4 linked regions of the Saccharomyces cerevisiae S288C genome follow. Changing the gene in region 1 together with any one later gene gives a genetic interaction. Each region holds a gene or a part of one and is shown in the gene's direction. Other genes may lie near its edges.

Region 1 (6,440 bases):
TCAGCCGCAGACAGTGCAGTAGAAGGAGCAGACTGATGATAGTTTGGTAAATACTTGACTCTCTGGTCTGAATCCGCAGCGTACGAGGCGATCCTTTGAATGTCCTTCGTGGGCTGTACAAAGTTTTTTGTTGTTACCTTCTGTTGCTGCTGGCGGTGATGCAAGGAGGGAATATGAGAATCGCTGAACCTTCTTGCTATGAACTGATGGTTGTTGTTGCTAGGCGACAGGTTATGTACACACTGATAAAGGTCGTAAATGTTCATAGAATTAGACAGCCTCTGTTGTCTTTTAGACATGAAGTCCCCGAACAGGTCTGTATTACAAGCCCCCTCGTTATGTAACTTCTCTCTTGGTGAGCACGATTCCGAAAATTCAGAGTCGTTATCGTTGATATTGAGCACCGTTTTAATGAACTCATGTTTCTTATTAGGAGTGGGAGATCTGTTACTCTCCAGAAAATAGTCGTCATGATGGCCACCACTTCCGGCACCGCTTCTCATATCCTCCCCCTCTTCCTCCTGAATAGCCTTGTAATGGATGGTTAGATGGGCAGATATGGGTCTATTGCTACTGCTACTCAGCATGGTTATATTCTGTTGTCTTCTTTACTTTAAGGCGAAAGGTCAGACAATATGCATATATATATATAGTCTTCGAATGCACGGCAAAAATGATATGAAGAGCTATGCTACAGTATATACTTCTTTGTTATTGCAATCAACGTGAGCCTTAACCAATGAGGAAGTAAGAAGGAAATAAGAAGTAAGACATAAAATAAAACTACAAAAAAGAAAGAAGATCCGCAAAAACCCAAGAACAGCATTGTAAGTACTACCATCTATATAGATCGAATATCCTACTAATATATAGTAACTGCCACACGAAAAACTGTGGGTGTAAAGACTATTCATAGCCATTCTCTGCTGCTTTGTTGCATCGTATCATCGCCCGTTTCAGCCAGTCCCGCATACCCCCTTTGCAACGTTAACGTTACCGCTAGCGTTTACCATCTCCACGCTAAAAGGAAAACGAAGATTAAGATAAAGTTGGGTAAAATCCGGGGTAAGAGGCAAGGGGGTAGAGAAAAAAAAACCGGAGTCATTATATACGATACCGTCCAGGGTAAGACAGTGATTTCTAGCTTCCACTTTTTTCAATTTCTTTTTTTCGTTCCAAATGGCGTCCACCCGTACATCCGGAATCTGACGGCACAAGAGCCGATTAGTGGAAGCCACGGTTACGTGATTGCGGTTTTTTTTTCCTACGTATAACGCTATGACGGTAGTTGAATGTTAAAAACGAAAACAGAGATATTGAATTGATCAATTTGATCAGTACGTATGTAATCTTTTGTTTGCCATGTTAAATCGGCCTTTTTTTCCATCCGGTCTTTATCTACCATTCATTTATTACATCGCAATGAAGTCTCTCGCTTCATGTTGTTGTTTTTTTTCCTGCCTTTTTTTTATCCGCTCTCATTCTTATTTTTCCTACTTGCATTTTATAAAACAATAATATTTTTTTCTTCTTTTTGTCCTTTATTTATTACTTCCTTGATTAAAAGCTTCTTATCTTCGGTTTCATAAAGAAGAAAATTCCTTTTTTTTTTTTTTTTTCCTTCTTCTTGCTTAAAAGCCTTTCTTATACCTCATTTGAACAATAGAACTAGATTTAGAGACTAGTTTAGCATTGGCCAAGAACTAACCATACGCAATGACTGTTACTACTCCTTTTGTGAATGGTACTTCTTATTGTACCGTCACTGCATATTCCGTTCAATCTTATAAAGCTGCCATAGATTTTTACACCAAGTTTTTGTCATTAGAAAACCGCTCTTCTCCAGATGAAAACTCCACTTTATTGTCTAACGATTCCATCTCTTTGAAGATCCTTCTACGTCCTGATGAAAAAATCAATAAAAATGTTGAGGCTCATTTGAAGGAATTGAACAGTATTACCAAGACTCAAGACTGGAGATCACATGCCACCCAATCCTTGGTATTTAACACTTCCGACATCTTGGCAGTCAAGGACACTCTAAATGCTATGAACGCTCCTCTTCAAGGCTACCCAACAGAACTATTTCCAATGCAGTTGTACACTTTGGACCCATTAGGTAACGTTGTTGGTGTTACTTCTACTAAGAACGCAGTTTCAACCAAGCCAACTCCACCACCAGCACCAGAAGCTTCTGCTGAGTCTGGTCTTTCCTCTAAAGTTCACTCTTACACTGATTTGGCTTACCGTATGAAAACCACCGACACCTATCCATCTCTGCCAAAGCCATTGAACAGGCCTCAAAAGGCAATTGCCGTCATGACTTCCGGTGGTGATGCTCCAGGTATGAACTCTAACGTTAGAGCCATCGTGCGTTCCGCTATCTTCAAAGGTTGTCGTGCCTTTGTTGTCATGGAAGGTTATGAAGGTTTGGTTCGTGGTGGTCCAGAATACATCAAGGAATTCCACTGGGAAGACGTCCGTGGTTGGTCTGCTGAAGGTGGTACCAACATTGGTACTGCCCGTTGTATGGAATTCAAGAAGCGCGAAGGTAGATTATTGGGTGCCCAACATTTGATTGAGGCCGGTGTCGATGCTTTGATCGTTTGTGGTGGTGACGGTTCTTTGACTGGTGCTGATCTGTTTAGATCAGAATGGCCTTCTTTGATCGAGGAATTGTTGAAAACAAACAGAATTTCCAACGAACAATACGAAAGAATGAAGCATTTGAATATTTGCGGTACTGTCGGTTCTATTGATAACGATATGTCCACCACGGATGCTACTATTGGTGCTTACTCTGCCTTGGACAGAATCTGTAAGGCCATCGATTACGTTGAAGCCACTGCCAACTCTCACTCAAGAGCTTTCGTTGTTGAAGTTATGGGTAGAAACTGTGGTTGGTTAGCTTTATTAGCTGGTATCGCCACTTCCGCTGACTATATCTTTATTCCAGAGAAGCCAGCCACTTCCAGCGAATGGCAAGATCAAATGTGTGACATTGTCTCCAAGCACAGATCAAGGGGTAAGAGAACCACCATTGTTGTTGTTGCAGAAGGTGCTATCGCTGCTGACTTGACCCCAATTTCTCCAAGCGACGTCCACAAAGTTCTAGTTGACAGATTAGGTTTGGATACAAGAATTACTACCTTAGGTCACGTTCAAAGAGGTGGTACTGCTGTTGCTTACGACCGTATCTTGGCTACTTTACAAGGTCTTGAGGCCGTTAATGCCGTTTTGGAATCCACTCCAGACACCCCATCACCATTGATTGCTGTTAACGAAAACAAAATTGTTCGTAAACCATTAATGGAATCCGTCAAGTTGACCAAAGCAGTTGCAGAAGCCATTCAAGCTAAGGATTTCAAGAGAGCTATGTCTTTAAGAGACACTGAGTTCATTGAACATTTAAACAATTTCATGGCTATCAACTCTGCTGACCACAACGAACCAAAGCTACCAAAGGACAAGAGACTGAAGATTGCCATTGTTAATGTCGGTGCTCCAGCTGGTGGTATCAACTCTGCCGTCTACTCGATGGCTACTTACTGTATGTCCCAAGGTCACAGACCATACGCTATCTACAATGGTTGGTCTGGTTTGGCAAGACATGAAAGTGTTCGTTCTTTGAACTGGAAGGATATGTTGGGTTGGCAATCCCGTGGTGGTTCTGAAATCGGTACTAACAGAGTCACTCCAGAAGAAGCAGATCTAGGTATGATTGCTTACTATTTCCAAAAGTACGAATTTGATGGTTTGATCATCGTTGGTGGTTTCGAAGCTTTTGAATCTTTACATCAATTAGAGAGAGCAAGAGAAAGTTATCCAGCTTTCAGAATCCCAATGGTCTTGATACCAGCTACTTTGTCTAACAATGTTCCAGGTACTGAATACTCTTTGGGTTCTGATACCGCTTTGAATGCTCTAATGGAATACTGTGATGTTGTTAAACAATCCGCTTCTTCAACCAGAGGTAGAGCCTTCGTTGTCGATTGTCAAGGTGGTAACTCAGGCTATTTGGCCACTTACGCTTCTTTGGCTGTTGGTGCTCAAGTCTCTTATGTCCCAGAAGAAGGTATTTCTTTGGAGCAATTGTCCGAGGATATTGAATACTTAGCTCAATCTTTTGAAAAGGCAGAAGGTAGAGGTAGATTTGGTAAATTGATTTTGAAGAGTACAAACGCTTCTAAGGCTTTATCAGCCACTAAATTGGCTGAAGTTATTACTGCTGAAGCCGATGGCAGATTTGACGCTAAGCCAGCTTATCCAGGTCATGTACAACAAGGTGGTTTGCCATCTCCAATTGATAGAACAAGAGCCACTAGAATGGCCATTAAAGCTGTCGGCTTCATCAAAGACAACCAAGCTGCCATTGCTGAAGCTCGTGCTGCCGAAGAAAACTTCAACGCTGATGACAAGACCATTTCTGACACTGCTGCTGTCGTTGGTGTTAAGGGTTCACATGTCGTTTACAACTCCATTAGACAATTGTATGACTATGAAACTGAAGTTTCCATGAGAATGCCAAAGGTCATTCACTGGCAAGCTACCAGACTCATTGCTGACCATTTGGTTGGAAGAAAGAGAGTTGATTAAAAGAAAATGACCTTTTATTACACTTTCTATTATTAATGTCAATTAATGTTAACCCATGTTTTTCTTTTGTGTCTATAATTCTTTTTTTTTATCTCTAAGCTTTTGAACAATGAATTTTTTGTTCCTTTCTTTTAATAATACAAGTACTACCCCATGAAACCAATATTATCATGCATTTTTATGAATGTCAAGAATAAAGATACTGTTATTTTTTGTGTCTTATTTTTTTTCTCTTTGTTTATTTAAACGTTTTCTAAAATTAAAACTTATGTATACTGGAATATGTGATATAGACGATTTAAAAGATAATTCCAATAAACGTCCCTCGGATCTCATATTTATAAAGGTACCCTTTTAATACAATATTTATACATGTGCGTTAAATACTTTGTTCTCTTATTATCTATGAACTTATCACGAAGAACGGAGATGTAAACAAAAAGAGTGAATGAACTATGAACTTTAAATTACCTTATTACGGAGGAAGTATTCCTTCACCTATGAAGGATACAAGGTCTACATTTTTCGTCTGATAACTCTCAGGAAATTAAACAAAGTGGTATGGTTTTATCAAGGGGAGAAACAAAGAAAAATAGCGTGAGATTAACGGCAAAACAAGAAAAGAAACCTCAATCTACGTTTCAAACTTTAAAACAGTCACTTAAACTTAGCAACAATAAAAAGTTGAAACAGGATTCGACCCAACACTCAAACGATACAAATAAATCTGTTAAAGCCAAAAAAAATGGCACGTCCTCGAAGAAAACCGGAACACAAAGGAAAAGAATATCAACTCAGAGATTTTCATTGTTTACCTATGGCAATGTTCAGGTTATGAATTCATTCGTTCCCATTCATAATGATATTCCGAATAGCAGTTGCATTCGTAGAAATTCCCAAGTATCCGCAAATAATGTCACTGAAAGTAGTGGAGTATTCTTCAATGATACGCAAAGTCAAGACAGTCAAAACACTATTAAGTTAAAACCTACATCTTTAATGGCAAAAGGACCTATTGAAATATATCAGATATGTACAGGGTTTGATAAGTTAAAGGAAAATATAGCGCCCTTTCAAAAATCTAGTAAAGCTAGTAGTCATGATGGGCATGTAGTAAACTATTTATCGATAGGACGACATGGTGATATTGTGCATCCAGTACTACCCAAACTACAAATAACAAGGCTAAATGGCGCAGGTTTCAAATACTTTATTAGCTTTTATAATCCGGAACGGTACTGGGAAATCGAATTTCTACCTTTGATTAGTCAATCCCAATCAGAGTTGGAAAATAGTGTGAAAGCTTTTGAAAACGTCATTAGCAAAATTTGCCAATTTTCGCATATTAATGAAGGAGCTACTATTGGGAATAATGAGTCTTTGAGCGATAAATTCAAACTGCCGCCTACTTCGGACATAGAGCCCCCCAATACTGAAATAATTAATAATGATGATGATAACGATGATGATGATGATAATTATGATGATGACGACCTTAATTACTTGCTGGATGAAGAATACGAACAAGGATGTACAGATAATAGCTTCTCCGTGATATCGAACACTTGCTCTAATCTAAATGCAAGCTTTCTCTATCCGAGCGACCCTACCGATGCCGTGTCAATCTCCATAAATGAAGCTTTCAAAAATGCTATCAGACGAACCGCTCCTGTACTGAATATTCCAATAGCAGCCCCAAGTATTCATTCGAAACAGCAAAACAAAAGATATAGTTCATACCCTTTTATCGACTCTCCCCCGTATCTGCAGGACAGGCATAGAAGATTTCAGAGGAGATCCATATCTGGTCTTGGCGACCTTTGAATGAAGTTCAAAGCATAACT
Region 2 (5,278 bases), on another chromosome or scaffold:
CTCCTCTTGGTTATCTCTCTTTTTCTCTCTCCTTATTAAAAAATTTACGGACAACGAGGAGCTTCTTTCTTGTTTACCTTGATTACCCTTTAAGCAATAACAATATCAATACGAGATTTTCTGTAATGTTAGTGCCTGGTCGAGTTTACTGTATCGTCCAAGAAAACTACACTGCGTTAAATTCTTCCAAATGAGGCTATGATACGCCAAACACTTTTATTTTTCCCCTCCGTTTCTCTCGCTTTCGCTTCGAAAATTACATTATTTTCTTCCCCATGCAGCGTTATTTCCATCTTCAGAGAGGAAAGGCGGAGAAAATTTTTCTTGAGGAAGGAATTCTACGAAAGTAGTCAACTATATTACTAATCGTTTGACATAGAATGCCAAAGTTGCAGCTTTTCCACTAACGTCAAATTTGCGTAACAAGCGCTGCTGTGTAAACTGTCTTGCTTTTTAATAGGACTGACAAAAATTATAAGCGGAGAGATAATATTTAATACTGCCATTGACCTTAGTACCGGTACAGGACAATATGTTTGTATCCTTGGTGTCATAAAGAAGAGAAAAACAAGATAAGATCTCCACATTATTTTGCAGAAGGCGACTTTGGGGGCCGATGATATCTGCTTCCAGAAGTATGTAAAAAAATTACACACCATTAAGTTCTTATGTAAACCGAAGTCTGGAAGAGAGGTGGTGGAATTTCCAGTCTGCTACTAGGCAAAAAACTTGAAACACTTTCATATATGATGTTGTTTTGCCGAGCTATTACAAGACGATTTATCATAAACTACTTGCTTGAGCAGGAACGATTTCACAATCTGTTTAGCAGGTTGTTATGAAGTAGACACGATAAAGTTCTTGAAGAAAGATTGTGGATGGGTTTGCTGAAGCTTAGAACTAAGAAAAGAAACAAGCACGCGCAAGAAAACCGCTACGGCTAACTTCTAAGGTGAGGATATTGTGATTGTTTATGCCTCATATTTTGCGTTTTTATATGTTCTTCCTTCATACGGCGTGCAAATTATCCGCCGGCGAACAGGGTGCTATTCTAAAAGGAACTTTGAAACTGTAAACGCGGTGTACTGAAGGGGTCATCTGAACGAACAATATTTTATGCTTTTGTTAGCCAAACGGTACTGATAAGGGACTGTGAAAAAAAAAAGACAATGTATGGGGTTCACGGTTTCCCAGATTCGTGTGTGTGTAATAATTCGTTTACGGCGCACGACAGACACTTCAGGAAATTTAAAGATCAGAATAGGCATACACTCCGCGCAAGGAAAACAAAAGTTGCTACCGTAACCGGCTCGTACGGGGAAAGCAAGGTCATCTAGTGCTCACTTACGAACTGGCATAATCGAGTTGTGACTTCCAAACTTAACCGTACTCTCACAGCTGATGTGATCCGAAGAAAACCCTGAAGATACAACAATGGCAACCAAAGGCAACTTAAAAAGGCAAACGAAGTACTTTTCAACAATAGCTTACACTGAAACTCGCGGAGAGGCGACGCTGCGCGCGAATTATCAGTAAAAATCTCGTAACAACCCATCTGCCACTTTTAGAAGGAATGGAAATTCTCAAAAAATGACGGAAAATAATAGAACAGGGTTCCTAAACGATGCATTTCTAACAAGTAGGATAGTCCAAAAGGGAGGATGCAAATTCTTTGTTTTCCACGCAGTAAGATATGATCCCAAGCTTTCGAATATAAAAAGGGAAGGATCGCTAGGACAGATCAGTTTTTAGCCCGTTTACTTATCTCGTTCCCTACTCTTGTTCTGATAGAAACCAGCAACAAAAACCTATTCACTCGCTTATTAATACCATAAAAAATATGGCTTACTCTAAAATCACATTACTAGCCGCTCTTGCTGCTATTGCTTACGCTCAAACCCAAGCACAAATCAACGAATTGAACGTTGTTTTAGATGATGTTAAGACCAACATTGCCGACTACATCACCCTATCCTACACTCCAAATTCAGGTTTTTCCTTGGACCAAATGCCAGCTGGTATTATGGATATTGCTGCGCAATTGGTTGCAAATCCAAGTGATGACTCCTACACCACTTTGTACTCTGAAGTGGACTTTTCTGCTGTTGAGCATATGTTGACTATGGTCCCATGGTACTCTTCTAGACTGCTTCCAGAATTAGAAGCAATGGATGCTTCTCTAACTACCTCAAGTTCTGCTGCCACATCTTCAAGTGAAGTTGCTAGCTCTTCTATTGCTTCATCCACTAGCTCTTCTGTTGCACCATCCTCAAGTGAAGTTGTCAGCTCTTCCGTTGCACCATCCTCAAGTGAAGTTGTCAGCTCTTCCGTTGCACCATCCTCAAGTGAAGTTGTCAGCTCTTCCGTTGCTTCATCCTCAAGTGAAGTTGCCAGCTCCTCTGTTGCGCCATCCTCAAGTGAAGTTGTCAGCTCTTCCGTTGCTTCATCCTCAAGTGAAGTTGCCAGCTCCTCTGTTGCGCCATCCTCAAGTGAAGTTGTCAGCTCTTCCGTTGCACCATCCTCAAGTGAAGTTGTCAGCTCTTCCGTTGCTTCATCCTCAAGTGAAGTTGCCAGCTCCTCTGTTGCGCCATCCTCAAGTGAAGTTGTCAGCTCTTCCGTTGCTTCTTCTACAAGCGAAGCTACTAGTTCTTCTGCTGTCACATCTTCCTCCGCTGTTTCCTCTTCGACCGAGTCTGTTAGCTCTTCCTCTGTCAGTTCTTCCTCAGCCGTTTCCTCTTCTGAAGCTGTCAGTTCCTCTCCAGTTTCCTCAGTTGTTTCATCTTCGGCCGGACCTGCTAGCTCAAGCGTTGCTCCTTACAACTCAACCATTGCTAGCTCTTCTTCCACTGCCCAGACTTCTATCTCGACCATTGCTCCTTACAACTCCACAACCACCACCACCCCAGCTAGTTCTGCTTCCAGCGTTATTATCTCAACCAGAAACGGTACCACTGTTACTGAAACTGACAACACTCTTGTCACCAAAGAAACCACTGTCTGTGACTACTCTTCAACATCTGCCGTTCCAGCTTCCACCACCGGTTACAACAATTCTACTAAGGTTTCAACCGCTACTATCTGCAGTACATGCAAAGAAGGTACCTCTACTGCAACTGACTTCTCTACACTAAAGACTACAGTTACCGTATGTGACTCCGCCTGTCAAGCTAAGAAGTCTGCTACCGTTGTTAGCGTTCAATCTAAAACTACCGGTATCGTTGAACAAACCGAAAACGGTGCTGCCAAGGCTGTTATCGGTATGGGTGCCGGTGCTTTAGCTGCTGTTGCCGCCATGCTACTATGATTTTAGTACGTGTCGAAAATGTTCGTTCCGCTTATGATTATATTATTATTTCAACTTACCAGTTAATGCTTAACTTTTAAACTGTCATATGTACTTCTCTGTATTATATAAAAACTGACAACTGGCCTTTTCTATTGTTGATTTCTTTCATCCATCGTTAAATATTTTCAGAATGTGGGCAGGAAGACATGCATGTTTGAAGGTGCCTATCCTAGCATCATCATAAAAGAAAACGGTAAATCATTTCCGTTTTCAAAACGTACACTACAGCCTCCAGTTGATGAAATCAGTTCTCACAATAATTCGAGGTTTAAAAGAAACAGTAAAATTTAAAAAAAACTATTCAATAGATAAATTGGTATATACGAACATTAAAAATTCCATTTAAAAATGAGATTATAATAACATGGCGGCAGCGGCCATGACACCAGCACCCATACCGATGACAGCCTTGGCAGCACCGTTTTCAGTTTGTTCGGAAACAGTGCTAGTGGCTTGAACTTGACCATCACTGATTTGAGAAATGGCGGAGGCTTTGGTGGAAGAAGCAACAGCTGAAGAAACAGCAGAGGAAGAAGCCTTAGTGGAAGAGGCAGCCTTGGTAGAGGAAGCGACGGTGGAAGAGGTAGCCTCACTGGAAGAAGCGACAGCAGAAGAAGTAGCAGCAGAAGAAGAAGCTTCACTGGAAGAAGCGACGGCAGAAGAAGTAGCTTCACTGGAGGAAGCGACGGCAGAAGAAGTAGTTTCACTGGAGGAAGCAACAGCGGAAGAAGTAGCAGCAGAAGAAGCTTCAGTAGAAGAGGCAGCGGTGGTAGAAGTTCCTAACAAGGATTCCAATTCTGGTAGAAGCCTGGAAGAATACCATGGAACCATGGTCAACATCTTGCTAACAGCAGCAAAGTCAACCTCAGAGTACAAAGTAGTGTAGGAGTCATCAGTGGCGGAAGCCAAAGCTAAACCGATGTCTAAAACACCAGATGGCAGACTGCTTAAGGAAAATCCAGATGAAGAATCTTCAGCCAAACTAATATATTCTTGCAAGTTGGACTTAACGTCATTCAAAATAACGTTCAATTCGTCAATTTCTTCCTGAGTTTGGGCAGAAGCCAAAGCAGCGATAGCAGCTAATAAAGCGATCTTGATGTAAGCCATTTTTTTGTTATAGTTGAAGCGAGTGTACGAGTGTGTTTTGTATTATTGTGCTGATAATGGCTAAACTGGAAAAGAAGATGATATGTGAGAGCTCTCATTGTTCGAATTTCGTTAACTACTTATATATTATTTTCCGTAGTTACGAAAGTTGAACATTACTTTGTTGTTTTCTTGCTTACTCGTTTACTCACATGATGCTCAGCTATTAAGATAGTTCAGTAGAACATCTTACACTAAACTTTGCACCACAATGTTGATGGTTGCTTTGGGAGATCATTACGGAAAAAAAACTCTTGGCTTTCAAGGATTCCCTGCGACCTAACTCTGCACTCCTTCTGCAAGGTACTGTTTATTTTTTTCGTGTGTCCTTTACGAGGAACGAATAAAGGCTTGAAAGGTAGTTTTAAAGATGAACTTCTTCTTTTCTTTCTTTGCCTATGATTCCTCCAGGGTTTTCTTGCCTTCTACTTTTGGACAGAAATGTCTTTTTTGGGAAATGTGAGTCTCGTTTGGGAATCTTGGCCGGCCAAGATTTTATAAAGATGTTTCTGTAGGCAACGCGCTGCTCTAAGCACCGTGGGGAGGCCATGAAATATGATTGCGCGTAGTTCCCCAACGTTACGTTTATTTTTTTCTGGGCATAAAAAAAGCCAAGACATTCCCCACTGCTTTCCTACAGGCTCTCTATTGTGTATACTTTGCGCTATTGTGTGCTTTGTTGTTGGTCCGAAGATCGCATAAGAGGCACGCCTCTTATCAATTTCTTTATAGGCGGCTACCGCCAGTGGAGTAAAATTCACGCCTTTTTTGTCCACTCCTTTT
Region 3 (6,680 bases), on another chromosome or scaffold:
TTTTAGTATAGTAGCCTATTCTTTCTGAGCATACGCTTTCCAATGCAGTATTGTTGACCGAAGAATATACCGAATCAGCAAAATAATTTGGTGTATATTTATTATGTCTCAGATTTGCAGATTTGTAATGCAATAAGTCCCTTACGCTAATTTGTTTGTTTTTCGGAGAAGAATTGCTCAATTCTTTACGAATAAATTCAGTGTCCTTTTTGATAACTTTTGCAATTAAATAATTCCAAGCATTTTTTCTAAATGGGTAAATCTCTCCATTGATTATAATTGATGTTTCGTCAATTTGAAGTTCATCAAGTAGATGGAAAACATCTGGAACTGGTATGTGTTTTGAATGTTTTGCATTCGCGGAAAGGCCATCTGCAAGCAGCATTGTCTCCAAAAAACTTTTTAATTCTGTTAAATTGTCAGTTGAGTTCTTCAGCTCGTAAATTTTATTAACAACGGACTTGTCACTATCTGAACTAAATGGCAATAGTCCGACTCTTTGCGGATATCCCTGGGAGACAACATTAACGGCACGAACCAACCCACCCAATGCCTCCTTCACCTCACTATCTTCTAAACGGGCGAAATCTATAACGAATATGATCTCTGACCAGTTTTGCTTTATTTCAGGCAACTCTCCGAATTTCGATTTATCAAAAAATGCTTGAACACTATTTACTAATTCGTCATATTGCGGGTCGCTTTCGATATCATTGAAGTATATTACTGATTCTGAGAACCCTGGAATTGTGTGGAGATCCATTTTGATTGGTTGTAAGTTTTGCAACTTCCCCAATGAAAATTGAGAAAACTTATTGAGTAAAAACTTGGAATCTAGTATGCATTTCGATGGCTCGAGTTCTTGCAAAAGGTTCGTAATTTTCAGTAAACTTTGGTATTCAGTTTTTAAAGCAGTAAGCAAATTGTACGGAGTCAGTGAGGTAATTTTCCAATTCTGTCCATTAATATAGAGACCTAGCATGTTGTAATCGAAGCCTTTACTATTGAGTTCTTCATTACTTGTTATTATATCCTTGTTAACAGATGAAACCTTAATCAGTTGTTTAGAGATTAGTGGAAAGTTGTTAACAATACTTTTGGTGAAATTTAGAGTGGCTGTGATATCCTTTTTATATTGGTAAAATTCTGAGATTAACGATGTTACTCTCAAATCAAGTTCACGTAATTCTTCTGGTTCTAGATCATGGAGCTGATCATCGTTGTCTGCTCCAACCAATATTTCTTTGGGTACAGTATATAGTATTTTTTTTAATTGAGGTATGGAGCTCATTCTAGAACCATTTTGTAAAGTAATTTCAAGCGGATGAGTTAAGGGATACTCCACGCTTTTCCCATCAAGGGAACATGTGGATCTCCAAATAAATCTAAATTTTCCCTCTCCATTCATTGCTTCCATAAATAAATTCCTATTGAATTCTTCGAAGTCGGAGTCAATAACGGTAGGACAACCGTACAAGATCAATATCGGCGCTTCTGAGTTAGTACCAATGACAACATCGTAAGGTTGTATAACATCAACATCTGGGACTTTCTGTTGAATTGTTAAATCCTTAGATTTCAAGTAGAACACGTCGTCGGGCTTTTCGTACCTATTACCATTCAAAACGAAATAGCTACTATTTGCATCGTCTTGTTCTGCATTGGAACTGATATCGTGCTGTATCATACCCATAGGGTAAAGACTAGCATACAGTTCCAATAAATCAGCCACATCCTCTTTATCGTATCGCTCCCTTAATACATTGGAAGTTAGCGCCACAAGATTTTCTTGAATATCAATCTCGTCATCCAAACCGGTAACCAAAGGATATAAATTAGTTAACAGCTGATTATCAACATCGCCCAGTAAATGAACTAAAATAGACCAGACCTGAGCAGATTCGGGTATGCCATATCGTAAGCTATAAGTCCATGCACGAAGCGGCGCACACAACAATAACAATACCAACGCAAGTAGTCTCATAATCAACAGAGGCACTCACACTGATACGTCTATATTCTACCAGGACAATTAATCTTTAATATGCCACGTTATATAGTTAGTTAATTAGTATACTAACTATATGAGTTATTGACAATCCGGGTAATGCACACATTAATAATCTTTCATGTCTTTCGAATCAACTGAAATTGGATATATACGTAAGACAGAGCGTGCTGAGCAAGATTCAAATTGTTCTAGTGACCCACCAAAGCTGTATCATGCCATGTTCAGAGACGACTACACCAAGAAGTTAAGTCTAAAATCAGCAATATACCGTCCTATGTTAGCGGTTTTTAGTGCCCTGCAAAAAAGTCAACGATGACCTGAATAATTTGCAGATTAAACCTAACAATTCAGAACCCTATATTTTATTTAATCATGATCAACGGATTGGCCGTTTCTTTTTTCTCTTTTTTTTCATCCGCTCGATGGATGATGAGTAAAACAAGAAAAACGCAGTTGGCGACTGCTATCAGATATGAAAGCAGTTTGATTGAACAAAGTCGGTTTTTTTTAAATAGAATTACAAAAAAGGCGTGCTTCCAACATCTTCTTATTTAAGACAAGACGACGTCAACTACCGGATTAAGGAACTTGACTCTTTCTTTCAAGAAGCAATTAACTACATCAACTAGAACCATAATGACGATCGGTGATAAGCAAAAATGGACCGCTACTAATGTCCGTAATACCTTTCTAGACTATTTCAAATCTAAAGAACACAAGTTTGTCAAATCCTCTCCAGTAGTTCCATTTGATGATCCAACTTTACTTTTCGCTAATGCCGGTATGAACCAATACAAGCCTATCTTTTTAGGTACTGTCGATCCAGCTTCCGATTTCTACACCTTGAAAAGGGCTTACAACTCTCAAAAGTGTATCAGAGCTGGTGGTAAACACAACGATTTAGAAGATGTCGGTAAGGATTCTTATCATCATACCTTTTTTGAAATGCTGGGTAACTGGTCGTTTGGCGACTATTTCAAGAAGGAAGCTATTACTTACTCATGGACTTTGTTGACTGAAGTATACGGCATTCCAAAGGATAGATTATACGTTACCTATTTTGAAGGTGATGAAAAGTTAGGCTTGGAACCTGATACTGAAGCCCGTGAACTATGGAAAAATGTTGGTGTTCCCGATGACCATATATTACCTGGTAATGCAAAGGACAACTTTTGGGAAATGGGTGACCAAGGCCCATGTGGTCCTTGTTCTGAAATTCACTACGATAGAATAGGTGGTAGAAATGCTGCTTCCTTGGTTAATATGGACGACCCTGATGTCTTGGAAGTTTGGAATTTGGTTTTCATTCAATTCAACAGAGAACAAGACGGGTCTTTGAAGCCTTTACCTGCCAAGCATATCGACACAGGTATGGGGTTCGAAAGATTGGTTTCTGTTCTGCAAGATGTTAGATCTAACTATGATACCGATGTTTTCACACCTTTGTTCGAGCGTATCCAAGAAATCACTTCAGTTAGACCATATTCTGGCAATTTTGGTGAGAATGACAAGGACGGTATCGATACTGCCTACAGAGTTTTAGCTGATCATGTCCGTACATTGACTTTTGCCTTAGCTGACGGTGGCGTTCCAAACAATGAAGGTAGAGGATATGTTTTGAGACGCATTCTAAGAAGAGGTGCCCGTTACGCCCGTAAATACATGAATTACCCAATCGGTAACTTTTTCTCCACTTTGGCTCCAACTTTAATTTCTCAGGTTCAAGATATCTTTCCCGAATTAGCCAAGGATCCTGCATTCCTCTTTGAAATCTTGGATGAAGAAGAAGCTTCTTTCGCTAAGACCTTGGATCGTGGTGAAAGACTATTTGAAAAATATGCTTCTGCTGCTTCTAAGACTGAATCTAAGACTTTAGACGGTAAACAAGTTTGGAGACTTTACGACACTTATGGTTTCCCAGTCGACTTGACTGAATTGATGGCTGAAGAACAAGGCTTGAAGATTGATGGACCCGGTTTCGAAAAGGCCAAACAAGAGTCATACGAAGCATCCAAAAGAGGTGGTAAGAAGGACCAAAGTGATTTGATTAAGTTAAACGTCCATGAATTATCCGAGTTGAACGATGCTAAGGTGCCCAAGACTAATGATGAATTCAAATACGGCAGCGCCAACGTCGAAGGTACCATTTTGAAACTGCATGACGGTACCAACTTTGTTGATGAGATCACTGAACCAGGTAAGAAGTACGGTATTATTTTGGATAAAACATGTTTCTACGCCGAACAAGGTGGTCAAGAATATGACACTGGTAAAATTGTTATTGATGACGCTGCTGAGTTTAATGTTGAAAATGTTCAATTGTATAACGGTTTTGTTTTCCACACCGGGTCTTTAGAAGAAGGTAAGTTGTCTGTCGGTGACAAGATTATCGCTTCATTCGATGAACTACGTCGTTTCCCTATTAAGAACAATCATACTGGTACACATATCTTAAACTTTGCTCTGAAGGAAACTTTGGGTAATGATGTCGATCAAAAGGGTTCTTTGGTTGCCCCAGAAAAATTGAGATTCGATTTCTCTCATAAAAAGGCTGTGTCAAATGAAGAATTGAAAAAAGTTGAAGATATCTGTAATGAGCAAATTAAAGAAAACTTACAAGTGTTTTACAAGGAAATTCCATTGGACTTGGCCAAATCCATTGATGGTGTTCGTGCTGTCTTTGGTGAGACTTACCCAGATCCAGTTCGTGTAGTTTCTGTTGGTAAGCCAATCGAAGAATTGTTGGCCAACCCAGCTAACGAAGAGTGGACCAAGTATTCTATTGAATTTTGCGGTGGTACCCATGTCAACAAGACAGGCGATATTAAATACTTCGTCATTTTAGAAGAGAGCGGTATTGCAAAGGGTATCAGAAGAATTGTTGCTGTTACTGGAACTGAAGCCTTTGAAGCTCAAAGATTGGCTGAACAGTTTGCTGCTGATTTGGATGCTGCAGACAAGCTGCCGTTCTCTCCAATCAAAGAAAAGAAGTTGAAGGAACTTGGTGTCAAACTTGGTCAACTTTCAATTTCTGTTATCACAAAAAATGAACTGAAGCAGAAATTTAACAAAATTGAAAAAGCAGTGAAGGATGAAGTTAAGTCAAGGGCCAAAAAAGAAAACAAACAAACTCTTGATGAAGTGAAGACATTTTTCGAAACCAATGAGAATGCTCCATACCTAGTTAAATTCATTGATATTTCTCCAAATGCTAAAGCTATCACTGAAGCGATCAACTACATGAAATCCAATGATTCTGTCAAAGACAAGTCAATCTATTTATTGGCAGGTAATGACCCTGAAGGTCGTGTTGCTCACGGTTGTTACATCTCCAATGCTGCTTTAGCCAAGGGTATTGATGGTTCTGCGCTTGCCAAAAAGGTGTCCAGTATCATCGGCGGTAAGGCTGGTGGTAAAGGTAATGTTTTCCAAGGTATGGGTGATAAACCAGCCGCTATAAAGGATGCAGTTGATGATTTGGAAAGTTTGTTCAAGGAGAAGCTTTCCATTTAAGAAGTTAAAATAAAACGAAAAATAATGCATAGGAGTTCTTTTTGTTTATTTTGCTCTTAATAAAAAAGTGTCATTGTATAATTAGTCTTAGTTTAATTATTTATGTTTTTACAAGGACAAAAGATTTGCTGTTAAAAAGAGTTTTAAATACCCTTTTTTCTTACATATGTATATATACAGGTTTATGCTAATAATATTGTATAGTTTATCATGATAATCGCCTTTCAATTTTTCTTGTCTTCTATCAACCATTTCCAAATCATATCTCTGTTCTGCTTGTTCTTAATATCATTCTCCATGTTAAATTTCTTCACCTTTGAAAAACCTTTATTAATCTTATTATTCGACAGGTTAGCCTTATTAGTGTAGCTGCTGCCATAAAGTAGCACTCCCAACCGCTGCTTGGTTGATTTCCACCACTTCCGCCTTCGCTTTAGTTTATTTGTCAGGGCAATAGACGCTGATGTTTTAGGATACACACTGGAGTTTGCGGGTGAGTTTGGATACATGGTCATCTTTGTCACGGATCTTAAAGAATTAAAATTTTTCTTGGTGATATAAAGGGCAGAAACAATAGAAAATACCGCCACTGAAGTAAACCCCCATTCACTCTCCTCGATGAAATTCTTTAAATTCATACCATAGAATGCCGGCAGAACAGATGCTACTGTGAATCCCAACGTGTAGATGGTAACTTTCAACTCCAACAACATTAAGGAATTTCTATTTGCGTCCAATATGATGTTGACAATTTCTTCAGTAGATTTGATATCCTGAATCAAAGATTCTGATTGCTGAACGTATTCATCACATTGGGTGTAGTACGTCTCTATAAGCATTTCCAAGTCCGAAAAATTGTCCTTAGGAGACTTCTTAACTGTCAAGTACATGTTTGCTAAATCATCGTCGTTTTCTAATAGTTCATCTAATAGATCTCTAATCAATAAAGTTTTTTGGTAAAAAAGCGTAAGATCTTTGGACTTAATTAAAAGATGCCGCAGTTTAAGTCTATTGACCTCGTTTTCCAGATCATTTAAGATTTGAATACAGATTTGTGAGTGAAGCTTGAAATCTGTTTCCAGTGCGCTCATTACGTTGATGAAAATACTCTCGAGGGCTCTATGCTCGTAAAATTGAGAGTTATTCTTGGTGGAGG
Region 4 (4,915 bases), on another chromosome or scaffold:
TCTAAGGATAGCGCTCCGCTGACCACCAAGTCTTGTATTACTCTGTCTCCAACTTCAAAAGCATCTTGCATTGTCGAGGCAATAACGCCCTGGCTGCCCTTACGGATCCAACCAGATGCATATAAATGTGGGAATATTTCTCCGCTGGAAGTTAAAACACGACCCTGTTTATTAGCTATATGATCTTTGTCAAATCCAATAGACAACTTAGAGAATTCAGGCATGGGAACGCCTGCATATCCCAATGAAGTAATCAGCAAATCCACTTTATATGTCATAATATTATTGACGTCCTTCAAGGGTTGCAAACTGTTATCTTCATTTAATCGATTGTTACATAAACTCAAAGAGTTGATTGCACCAAAATCGTCTCTATTAATTTTCAAGGGAGTCTTCAAATAATCTAACTCCCAGAATTTGTCATATCCGCTGCTTGGAGGAGGAGCCTTTTTATAGTTTTTCTTCGAACGTTCATTAAATGGCTTGAGATACTCACTACACATCTCTACTCGTCTATTGAATGCACGATCGTACTTAGATGGGTCAAACATTTCTTTCTGGAAAAATTTAGGATCAATACGGCCACGTATGCCATACTTTTCTAACTCCCATAGTTCTCTTAATTCTTTGTTGGTGAATTTGGAATGAACGAAATCCCTTCGTGCAATTAGCTTAACGTCCTTTACAGGTGCCCTTCTTAGCAAATTTAGTGCAAGAGATGAGATGTCCGTATTTTCCCATATTTCATCAATTTGATTAGAAATAAGTACACGCGTAATATCAAGAGCAACGTTACCGTTTCCTATAATACCAACTTTCGAAACTTTGCTCCAGTCAAAATCGGTAAATCGCTTATCCTTTGCGAAATCAGGATGACCATTGTACCAATTGACAAATTCTCTACTGCTAAACACCCCTTTTGTTCCGAGTTCGCCAGGGATATTCAGCTTTCTGTCCCCTGTACAACCATAACTTAAAATAACAGCATCTTGATTATCCAGCAATTCCTTCAACAATATTTCTTTTCCAATGGTTATACCACCAACAAAGGAAAATTTATGCTTTTGGTTTGTAGGGGAAGAAAACTCTTCTGCACATGTGGTAAACGTTTCTTCACAATTTTTGACTTCTGGATGATCAGGTGCCACACCATATCTACTTAAACCAAAAGGAACAGGTAACTTTTCCCATATAGTAACATTTAATGGAATCGGTGACTTCTTGAGTAAATGGTACGCTGTATAAAAGCCGGAAGGCCCCGATCCAACAATGGATACAGTCTTACGGTTTATTTGTGAAGAAATGTGCCTTATTTGAACAAAGCTCATTTTCACAAGTAATGAGCTAAAAAAGGAAGAAGAAAGAGTGAGAAACTTTCTAAATGAATGAATGAGGCGTTGTGGCCAAGAACTATAGCAAGCAAAAAACTTTCTGTTACGTTCGAGCTATAGTTTACTGCTCTTCGAATTATATCTCGATTGAGTTACCCTTAAAGAGTGCCGAAAAATCGATGTAAATAGTATAAGTAAAGATTTCCACTCTTCTATATTTGCAACGCAGTAGACGTACCAAGGGACGATTTGAAAAAAAATGAAGTGTGCCCTCAATCTACCATGTCGGATAAGCCGATTGACATACAATATGATAAACAGGCTACTCCAAATCTGAGTGGTGTAATTACTCCGCCAACAAATGAAACTGGTAATGACTCAGTCCGGGAAAAACTTTCAAAACTAGTTGGCGATGCTATGTCAAACAATCCCTATTTTGCCGCCGGCGGTGGTCTTATGATCCTTGGTACAGGTTTAGCTGTAGCTAGATCCGGTATAATAAAAGCCAGCAGGGTCCTATACCGACAAATGATTGTCGACTTAGAGATTCAGTCGAAGGACAAATCATACGCCTGGTTTCTAACATGGATGGCCAAACATCCTCAAAGGGTATCTAGACACTTATCCGTTAGGACAAACTACATACAACATGACAATGGATCAGTTAGTACAAAATTTTCGCTGGTTCCGGGTCCGGGAAATCATTGGATTCGTTATAAGGGTGCTTTTATCCTGATTAAAAGAGAAAGGTCCGCAAAAATGATAGATATCGCAAACGGGTCACCATTTGAGACCGTAACCTTAACTACACTGTACCGTGACAAACATTTGTTCGATGACATTTTGAACGAGGCTAAAGACATAGCCCTGAAGACTACTGAGGGCAAGACTGTTATTTACACTTCTTTCGGCCCTGAATGGAGAAAGTTTGGTCAACCAAAAGCTAAAAGGATGCTGCCCTCCGTCATTTTGGACAGTGGCATCAAAGAGGGTATTCTCGATGACGTTTATGATTTTATGAAGAACGGCAAATGGTACTCTGACAGGGGTATCCCATATCGCAGGGGATATTTACTCTATGGCCCTCCCGGATCTGGTAAGACTAGCTTTATCCAGGCTTTAGCGGGCGAATTAGACTACAACATTTGTATTTTAAACCTCTCCGAAAATAATTTAACAGATGACAGATTAAACCACTTAATGAATAACATGCCAGAAAGGAGCATACTATTACTGGAAGATATTGACGCGGCGTTCAACAAAAGAAGTCAAACTGGTGAACAAGGTTTTCATTCTAGCGTAACATTTAGCGGTTTACTGAATGCCCTGGATGGCGTCACATCTTCTGAAGAAACTATTACATTCATGACTACCAATCATCCTGAAAAGCTAGACGCGGCTATAATGAGACCAGGTCGTATTGACTACAAAGTCTTCGTTGGTAACGCAACTCCATACCAGGTAGAAAAAATGTTTATGAAATTTTACCCAGGTGAGACTGATATATGCAAAAAGTTTGTAAATAGTGTTAAAGAATTGGATATCACCGTAAGTACCGCCCAGTTGCAAGGACTTTTCGTTATGAATAAAGATGCACCACACGATGCGTTGAAAATGGTCTCCAGCTTACGGAACGCTAATCATATTTTCTAGGTGCTAAGTGGCGCCTTACTACATAACTTGTATATAATAAAAATTCAGAAGATGCTTTAACTTTTTCTCGTTAATAAGACCGAGTTATTTGCTATTACGAACAAAAGAGTATATGATAAAGAGGCTTAAAAATACCCCTTCATTGACTATCCAGAAAAGCCTGCGTTGCAGCTTCAATATGATAAGGATATACTTCCCTCAAACCTTCTGCAGTTGCCCTTGTTCTAGCATCCAGCAGAATTTTTCTTAAAATGGCCTGAAATCCACATGCCAATAATAATTTCTTGTTATATTCTTGACTAGACTCTTGATCTTCATTTTGCCGTTGGAGAAGATCTTCTAGCTTATTCTCCTCCGCATCTAAACTAAGCTGCCGTAGCAAATAATTGGCCAATGCTTCCGTATCCATGGAAGAATGTTAGGAACTGTTGCTATTGTTGTACTTTGGTTATACGACAGTAAGTAACGTTGACTTGGTGACCGAAAATAGACACGAAATCGCTACCCGTTTCCCCAGAATATCACTCCTCACGATGTACCTCGGCGGCTAATCTTTTTGGTAGCCTTTTGTGATATATATATAAATAAATAAGTATACATACATATATATATATATATATTTATACAGCTACATTGTTTTCCTCCAAAATTTTCTGTTGGTTATGAATCGCAAAAGAAGTTTTCAGATTGTGTCCTCTGTTACTATTTCGTTAAGAAAGGAAGATATCGTCTACGGCTGGTGTGACGTAAGTATTGCGTTGTGCTCTAAAAATGAATCAAATCTGGTCTACAGGTCCCCCAAATTTTTACTTCAACTCTGAATGGAAAGAAAATAAGAGAAATGACAGGACAATTGAAGACTCTTTAAGAGAACTAGATGGGTTGATCCATTCCTTGGAGAGAACTCATATTGAAGTACAAACAAACCCAAAGCTAAAGAACGATGTCACAGCTTTAAATGATATTAACAAGAAAGAAAATAAAGAAGAGATCACTCATGAAAACTATACACACCAGATTAATAGTATTCCATTGACAAGCTCAAATTTAAATCGGCATTTCTCCTTTTCTAGAGACTACAACCAATCTGATAATAGCAATAATAATTATTACAGGGAATATTTATCCAAACCAAGGTATTTGCAGCAGTCAACTAAAGAACAAACTTTCAATGAAATTAATAAAAGAAAAAGTGCTGCAATTATTCCCCCTTGGTTAAATATTCCAGAAAACTCAAGATTTTTTGTAATAAAGTCCTCGTCTTTGAAGCATGTCAAAAGGTCGTTTTACAACGGAATTTGGTCGTCTACTCATTTCGGCAACAAAAGGCTATCTGAGGCATATAAAAAGCTTAATTCGGGAGCCAAAGTGTTTTTATTTTTTTCAATCAACACATCAGGAAGATTCTGTGGCGTTGCAGAAATGGTATCGGATTTGAAAATGGATTTGGACACCAGTATATGGGAAGATGAACAAAAATATGGCAAAGCCTTTAAAGTAAGATGGGTGATCGTGCGTGATATAAATAACAGATCGTTAAAAAGGTTTTTGATACCATCCAATGAAATGAAACCGATAACACATTCCAGAGATACTCAAGAAATTCCATATTCGATTGGAATTTCAATAATTAATCTATTTAAAACTCAAGATTCTGATATTTTCTCCTTCTTGGATGAGACGTATGAATAGACCTTATCCCTCATTTATCAACATTTTATTCTCATTTATTATTAGTATTATTATTATTTTTAATATTATTTTTATTTAAAATTATCCTAAAATTACTTCTACTGTTATAACATCCAATCCATAAGAAGCAAAAACAAAGTTTTCATATTAAGCCATCGTAAAGGTTTAAGGCACCAATAATAGAGGGATCGACTTTAGAACCTTCTCTGAATTCGTCCAGCGTAATGTAACCATCTTCG

Evidence for each region.
Region 2: mutations in PFK2 (region 1) and TIR4 together harm fitness more than expected from each alone (negative genetic interaction), as found in Saccharomyces cerevisiae (2 studies listed by BioGRID).
Region 3: mutations in PFK2 (region 1) and ALA1 together harm fitness more than expected from each alone (negative genetic interaction), as found in Saccharomyces cerevisiae (2 studies listed by BioGRID).
Region 4: mutations in PFK2 (region 1) and BCS1 together harm fitness more than expected from each alone (negative genetic interaction), as found in Saccharomyces cerevisiae (2 studies listed by BioGRID).

The regions. Positions count from the first base shown.
Region 1 is NC_001145.3:670,043-676,482, reverse strand, and holds PFK2 (6-phosphofructokinase subunit beta), read left to right. Parts: upstream 1-1,716; coding exon 1,717-4,596; downstream 4,597-6,440. Other genes in the region: YMR206W (uncharacterized protein), read right to left, coding at 1-587; INP1 (Inp1p), read left to right, coding at 5,158-6,420. UniProt on the Saccharomyces cerevisiae protein: Catalyzes the phosphorylation of D-fructose 6-phosphate to fructose 1,6-bisphosphate by ATP, the first committing step of glycolysis.
Region 2 is NC_001147.6:342,495-347,772, forward strand, and holds TIR4 (Tir4p), read left to right. Parts: upstream 1-1,840; coding exon 1,841-3,304; downstream 3,305-5,278. Other genes in the region: YOR008C-A (uncharacterized protein), read right to left, coding at 363-587; TIR2 (putative GPI-anchored mannoprotein), read right to left, coding at 3,701-4,456. UniProt on the Saccharomyces cerevisiae protein: Component of the cell wall. Required for anaerobic growth.
Region 3 is NC_001147.6:945,077-951,756, reverse strand, and holds ALA1 (alanine--tRNA ligase), read left to right. Parts: upstream 1-2,647; coding exon 2,648-5,524; downstream 5,525-6,680. Other genes in the region: KRE5 (Kre5p), read right to left, coding at 1-1,984; MRS2 (Mrs2p), read right to left, coding at 5,749-6,680. UniProt on the Saccharomyces cerevisiae protein: Catalyzes the attachment of alanine to tRNA(Ala) in a two-step reaction: alanine is first activated by ATP to form Ala-AMP and then transferred to the acceptor end of tRNA(Ala). Also edits incorrectly charged tRNA(Ala) via its editing domain.
Region 4 is NC_001136.10:1,223,235-1,228,149, reverse strand, and holds BCS1 (bifunctional AAA family ATPase chaperone/translocase BCS1), read left to right. Parts: upstream 1-1,613; coding exon 1,614-2,984; downstream 2,985-4,915. Other genes in the region: ARH1 (NADPH-adrenodoxin reductase), read right to left, coding at 1-1,328; WIP1 (Wip1p), read right to left, coding at 3,124-3,393; PHO92 (mRNA-binding phosphate metabolism regulator), read left to right, coding at 3,756-4,676; FRQ1 (frequenin), read right to left, coding at 4,819-4,915.